Xenopus tropicalis: one gene and its partner. The protein of the gene in region 1 purifies or fractionates together with the protein of each later gene. This does not show direct contact. Links are inferred from orthologs where the notes say so. Each region holds a gene or a part of one and is shown on either strand. Other genes may lie near its edges.

Region 1 (3,758 bases):
GAGTAAAAAGCCAAACTTGTTAGTACTGTGAATTTAATTTCTGTGCTTAACCCTCTTTTTCCACTAAAACTGACTGCCCTAAGCTGACCAACAAACAAGGCTGACCCCCACAGACATGTGCATGGATTTTTCAGTCAAACTATAGAAAAATTGTATGAAATTTAGAGAAGATTTGATCCTAAATTTAATTTCTGTTAAGCACAGAAATTAAATTCACAGTACTAACACGTTTGGCTTTTTACTCTACTGTGCATGAGCAAGCAGTGAAGACAGAAAAAGGAAGAGGATCACTTGCTCTCTGGTACCCTGGGTCGATGCAGGTTTTCGCTAACAAGAGCACCAACTTGGGGTTTCAGGTAAGTGATTACAATCACTGGGGGGTGCCTAAAATGTTGGCATCTCCCACTGATTGTACCTTTCATTCTTCTTTAAAAGCAAGCATCTGGTCGGTTGCTATGACTACTAGACCTACCATAGATCAACTGATCTGATAGCTTCAAATTACATAGCCACTCCTAAACCAACCCCCAAAAAATCAGTGATTACTTAAAAACTTAAAAGTTTACTAGTAATTTTAACAGTAACGGAGACAGTATTGAGATTTTATATTCTGCACCAACATAGGAAGGCAGCATTATATACAGCTAAAAGTATAAAGTTACTCCATGCCTGGTGATTGAAAAACCTTATTTTTAAGAAATTACAAAAAAGACAAAAACAGTTGCGACCCAAAATAACTGTACATTGTCTGAATTACATTGATAATGATCAATTGTTTTTAGAGCAAAACATCAGGTAAAAGTAAAGTGCAGAATGTTCTATGCGTTTTTGGTTGCAAGTTTCATTTCAGACCAGTGTATGGTTTATTTCACATGCATGGGCAGAGCAATGAGCTGTACAGAGCACTGCGTGAAGTAGTTAAAGTGTGCAGGGGCGTGCTTAGGCAGTGGCTGTGGTATGGAGGAGACGGAAGCTTGAGAGCACTGGCATTGTACCGAGATGACAGGGTTCTGATACACATGTCACTGGCTACTGCTGCTTCAGAGTCAAGGTACTTTTCATTTCATCTCACTTCTTTCAACTCTTCCAGATAGGAACAAAAGTACCATTTAAAATCATCTAATTATCAACTTGTTTTACATGTTGTTGATATCTACTGGAGGCTAGAGTCAGACTCCCTTTTTTCTGATAGTGTTACTATGCAAGTACTTGTGCTTTTTCTGCTGTTATCTACATTTTAATAGGCTCAGCACTCACCCATATACAGATTGCTAGTGTTTTCAACATATGTGCAGTGAAAAAAATGATAAATGCAGGCTTTATTGCACATTGAGTGCTCTCCTAGCCAGCTCTGAGGGTATAACATACAAAAGTTGTATCAAGTTTTAAAACCATTCTGTAGTGTTGCTTGTGGATAGTTTCCCAACATAATGTGTATGTGTATATTGTCATCAGACAATGACCCACTGATAAGGTACCAGTTTTTGTCTGCACAGTTTATCTACATGTGTATTTTAAAGGAAGGGCAAGCTAATGAGTATATTGCACCTCTACACTGTTTCATGGTTTCTTTTAGTTATTGTCCCTCTACACTGTTTCATGTTTTGTTTTAGTTTTTGTCCCTAAAGCCAATGTCAATGAATTCTTATGTATGGTGATGACTTTAAGAAAAAAATTAAACACATCAGAAAGCAAGGAAGACATTATATTTTTAATACTATGGCTTATATTAGGCATTTGTGTTGCATGAAGCTAATTGGTGTTTGCTGTGCTTTATTTCTTAATATGGTGCTTTATTTCTTACATATGGTGTGCAATGTATTTATTGTTTTGAACTGGCAGGTATTGTGCAGTTATGTGGGAATTGTCTAGGATTAGTAGGTCTGAAAATTTTTGACTGAAAAAAGTACTGTACACACAACTGTCCATACATTTAGATGTTGGCTGCCTCTCCAAAATTATATGATAACTGATTAACCTTTTGGGAATTACGTTACATGATTATGTTGATTTACTACAGTGGACATTTTTTGAATACCCAGAATTAAGTCCAAAGAGATGTGCCTTTTTCTGTATGCCTTATTACCTGTATTTGGGTACCCCTGGTACATCCCAAAGCTTGCACATCATTCAGAACTAGGAGTGTCAGGGGAACCAAGACATTAGGGTGACTTCTCCTTACCACAGGCTTATGGCAGGTTTTACACACAGGACTCTCTTGCAGGGCCGGAACTAGGGGTAGGCAGAAGAGGCAGCTGCCTAGGGCGCAACGATTGAGGGGCGCCAGGCAGGAGCTACTTTGTGCTACTTTGTCATTGCCTCCACCGCTTGTCATTAGCGGCGGAGGCAATGACCGATCTAATCGCAGGGAGGTGGGCGGAGTTGGCCGACCGGGTTGCCTAGGGCGCCCGGTCGGCTTGGCACGCCTCTGCTCTCTTGCACCTGTCAGCACTTTGTTCTCCAAGCTGCATAGGGCTAGGGGCTAGCACTTTGTATATAGAGCTCTGAGAGTGACAAATGAATGGCCCTTACTGCTTTTAAACTTGCACCTGGCTCTTAATAAATAAGCCCTCACTGTCTCTATTGGTAATTCACTCTAGATGAATACCATTTGAACAAATCAAGGCAAAATATTACGCAGAAAACAATGTTGCACAGAATTACTTTCCTACCAGTAATTAGAAAAATTTGTAAAACTTTTATTTGCACCTTGCTGTTTGTATTGATGGGACTTGATTAAAATAATGAAAAAATAGCCCCATACACAGATGCAGAACTGTTAATAACACCAATTAGATGAAGGAATTGATACATCTTAATGAAAACAATGGGAAACCAGGCCTCAAATCAAACGTAAATAGTTCCCTGTTTCAATAGCGTATAATCATCTTTGTAAGCCTGATCCAGCTTCCTACCATTTAAAGGGACAGTATACACCTAAAAATGCCTTTGCTAAAAATGAGCACATTAAAGGGGACCTTTTTGCCTATTGTTTAAATTTTAAAATATCAATATTTTTGCCATTATAAAGCACTAATTTGAAAGTTGGGCTATTTTCACTGAACTCCCCTCCCCATCTTTTATAAACAGGGCAATTTGTTCAAAGCTCTCAATCTATAAATCCCATACCTTCTCTAAGCAGCAGCCTTTGAGCAGCTAATTATTTTAGTTTTATCAGCTCCTGAAGTTCTTTGGGACCAGAAGTGGCAGGCGTGAAACTGGCTTCATATTCTTGTTTTGTGCCAGAAATAACAAAAACCATAGATATTTCTTAATTAAAACAATAGACAAAATGTTTATTCTATTAATTTGGCTAATGTTAAAAAGGGGTATGACTTTTTAAGTATATCTCCAAAAATCACCTTTTTAGAAAATCTTATCCAACCTCCAATGGAAAAAATCTTTAAATCCACCCAAACATCTGCTGATAAACTTGAATGGGGGGGGCAATTTCTAGCATTTCATCACCTCCATCACCTCCTCATGGAGCTACAAATTGCCATGGTGAGAAATCACTTATAATTGCCCCATGTGCCATTGTCCTTTTCAACAATTACAGCCTTCCAAATACCTACTGCTGACCATTGTTGTGGATAACTGATATCAGTCTGCATATTCAGGCCTTTCCCTCTGTAGCAATAAATGCCAGTTTCCATTACTACTGCAGCTGTGCACACCTGTATATAAAACTGGTTTTTCAAAAAAAAAAGTTACACTTAAGCTTTTTACATTATTTACTGTATGGGACAAGGTTAAAG
Region 2 (3,658 bases), on another chromosome or scaffold:
CTTTATATAACTATATATGTGACGATAATATAAATTCACAAACAATTCTGAATAATTGTTATTACGCTGCATTGAGAGAGCACCTTCTAAAATCAAACTGTGTCAAGCTCCCACATTGTACTTCTGCTCTCAGTCTCAGTGGGGAAATTAATGGGGTATACAGGGGGCCTTAAATTTACTAAATTACTACTGTAGGACATAAACAAACATAATGGGCCCGATTCACTAAAGTCCGAAATAAGGAGTGCTATTTATAGCATGCGTTAAAAATCTTATCACTTCTTATTTTTCGCTCGATTCACTAAAAGGACACTTGTGATAATTAAGAAGTGATGTTCTTGGCGTTATTTATCTTATGATGACATATTTTAATGAAAAAAACTATGCGATAAGCGTTATAGGGGCCGATTCACTAAAGGTCAATAACGCTTATCGCATAGTTTTTTCATTAAAAAGCATGCGATAATTAAGTACCGATTCATCAAAGTCATTTCGCATGTGTTAATCCGCATATCGCATGCACAAAAAAACCGCATTGCGTTAATTAGCGAATAGAAATAGTACTAACGCATGATTCACAAACACATATGAAGCGTTAAACGTGCAAAATATTGTGTTAATCTGTGTGAATATTAACCCTACTTGGGGCAGGCGGTACTTAAAGAAAATTGCGGTTCGTGAGCTATTGGCAACACAACATGGAGTTTGCAGTCGTATTTTTTCAAGTATATGTTGGCCCTAGAGTGATGCAGCCTCCAGTTTTCAGGGAATTGGTGGTTTTCAGAAAGTAATGGTTACGTGCGTAATATATTGCGCTCTGCGTAAAATATCGCGCGCTGCGTAATATCTTGTGCACTGCGTAATATATTTCTTGAAAATATGTCATCGTAAGATAAATAACGCCAAGAACATCGCTTCTTAATTATGACAAGTGTCCTTTTAGTGAATCGAGTGAAAAATAAGAAGTGATAAGATTTTTAACACATGCTATAAATAGCACTCCTTATTTCGGACTTTAGTGAATCGGGCCCTATATGTGTTTGTGAATCATGCGTTAGTACTATTTCTATTCGCTAATTAACGCAATGCGTTTTTTTTGTGCATGCGATATGCGGATTAACACATGCGAAATGACTTTGATGAATCGGTACTTAATTATCGCATGCTTTTTAATAAAAAAAACTATGCGATAAGCGTTATTGACCTTTAGTGAATCGGCCCCTATAACGCTTATCGCATAGTTTTTTTCATTAAAATATGTCATCGTAAGATAAATAACGCCAAGAACATCGCTTCTTAATTATGACAAGTGTCCTTTTAGTGAATCGAGCGAAAAAGTGATAAGATTTTTAACGCATGCTATAAATAGCACTCCTTATTTCGGACTTTAGTGAATCAGGCCCAATATCCCTTGAATTACGTCAGTAAAATATAAACATGGAAGAAAATGTGCTTAAAAACAAACCTCTTCATAATCTGAATTTCTTGACACCATCTCTCTTTGTTTTTCATACTCAGTTCCAACCTACAGGATTTGATGGCTTTCAGCTCTCCTGTTTCCTGCAGAGGTAGGAAAAACAATAAGTGCATTTTCTCACATTTATTTCCACAAATTGTATTTATTATTGCATTTTTTTTGCCCCAGATCCTCTGTCTAAATACTTGTATGCACTACAGCTTAATCTTAAAGGATAGGTAATCGTTTAAAGTAAGTGAATGTAAAATTGATGAGAGTGCTATTCTAAGCACTTGTGCAGTTTTCCTTCATCTTCAATCATTCATTCTACCATTTAAAATTTTATTCTTAAATAATAAATGTAAATTTTAGTTGTGATATTCTGTCATGATTTTCTGTACTTATTGTACTTACTTCTAAATTACACTGTTTACGTAGCAAATAATAAAAATTTTTATTTTTGACCCAACAAATGTTATTTTTTCTTAATTGTAATATTGGTGTGTAGGCCTGAGTTTGAGCTTTCAGAAGGAGCCAGCGCTACACATTTCAGGTAACCTATTGTCTCTCCTACTCCCATGTAACAGGAGAAGTCCCAAGCCGGACTTGGATTTCTTACTATTGATATCTAGGTGACAGGTAGCCAATTGGCTGCTGGTGGGGAAGGGGGGGGGGGAGTTTATCAGAGCACAGGTCACATGGCTATGGCACCCCGGGAAATGAAGAATATGGCTAGCCCCATGTGAAAATTAAATATTAAAAAATCTGTTTGTGTTTTTGAAAAAAGATTACAATGCAGGATTCTGCTGGAGAAGCTCTATTAACTGATGTGTTTTGAAAAAAAATGTTTTCCTATGACAGTATTGCTTTACATCTACTAATAATAATTTTAATTCTATATTAGTTGGGATCAAATACAATGTACTGTTTTATAATTACAGAGATAAGGGAAATCATTTTTAAAAATTTTCATTATTTTATTATAATAGAATCTATGGGAGATGGCCTTTCTGTAATTCAGAGCTTCCTGGATAACAGGTTTCAGGATAACGGATTTTTAATACCTGTATAGAAAAATTATATTTAATGCTTGCCCCCATGCATTTATCAAGCTTCCTTCTTACGCACCCGATTCTGGTACAAGCAAACATTTCCAAAACCTCCTGTTCCTAGGCGGTCTTTCATGTCCCATGGCCCACAAACAGCTCCATGTTGGACTGGGGGCTTCTCCATAACCACAGCGTTCTTCCTTTCTCTTCAGTTTTGCAGATGCTTCTGGTCACCTGTCACAACAACAGAATTAAAAAAAGTCTGCAACCACCCAAGTTCCATACTCCAGATTTACAGTACATTCATCCAAGTGGTTAACATTTCCCTACATAAGGGGGCCTACTCTTTAAGAGACAGGATATTGCACTTCCCAATTGGAGAAAAAGACCAACAGTAGTGGGAAAGATTGTAATTGTAGCATCTATGGCCTCCTTACATTAACTGAAGTTGTAATAAAATAGTTTTGTTTGTGTCTCATTCCTAGGTTATTGCATAAGGATATGTATGCAGAAGTTGCAATGTAACCAATTTACAGAAAACAATAGAGATTTTAGTGGTAATAGGAAATAACTCCAGCCTGATCTATAAGTAAGGGACAGTCAGTGTTGGACTGGGGTGCCAAGGGCCTATCTGAAAACCTTTAGACCTAAGGCCCACTCTCCAGACCCCTTTTCCTTCACTGTTTACTCACTTTCTTTAATTTCTTAAATACATCTTTTTACATAGTATTATCTATCCTTTCCTCTATTTCTTTTGTTTCTTCTCATATAGAATTGAGTAATGGCCATGGTATAGGCATACAAGGCAAATGGTTGAGTGAGCAGGAGGGCCCATTGAAAGCCTGGGCCCACTGGGAGTTTTCCTGGTATCCAGGTGGGCCAGTCCGAGACTGGACAGCGTTGAATTTGGTTTCTTATTCTGCCAGTTTCTTATTTGTGCCTTGAAGTTGGTTTCTAATTCAGTCAGTGAATAAGTAACTAGTGTTTAAAAGAAATGACCTTGGGCGACAGTTTTAAAAGTATACATTCATAGACAGGGTTCCGTACATAATGTACAGCTTGTTCCAGCCTGGCCCAAAATAGTTCTGGGCAGGAAAAGTGGCCCCAAAGTGGCATTAGTGTCTAATGATTTAAAGAGTTAAATGACTTTGGG

What was found. Proteins that work in one complex are often made in the same cells at the same time.
Region 2: the proteins of prkcq (region 1) and chuk purify together in Homo sapiens (affinity purification with western blotting, with the first as the bait; 3 studies listed by BioGRID). This does not show direct contact. The link is inferred for Xenopus tropicalis from reciprocal best matches to the Homo sapiens genes PRKCQ and CHUK.

The regions. Positions count from the first base shown.
Region 1 is NC_030679.2:84,173,461-84,177,218, forward strand, and holds the start of prkcq (protein kinase C theta type), read left to right. Parts: upstream 1-970; 5' UTR 971-1,051; intron 1,052-3,758. UniProt on the Homo sapiens protein: Calcium-independent, phospholipid- and diacylglycerol (DAG)-dependent serine/threonine-protein kinase that mediates non-redundant functions in T-cell receptor (TCR) signaling, including T-cells activation, proliferation, differentiation and survival, by mediating activation of multiple transcription factors such as NF-kappa-B, JUN, NFATC1 and NFATC2.
Region 2 is NC_030683.2:110,586,091-110,589,748, forward strand, and holds part of chuk (inhibitor of nuclear factor kappa-B kinase subunit alpha), read right to left. Parts: intron 2,740-3,658; 5' UTR 2,690-2,739; coding exon 2,585-2,689; intron 1,561-2,584; coding exon 1,466-1,560; intron 1-1,465.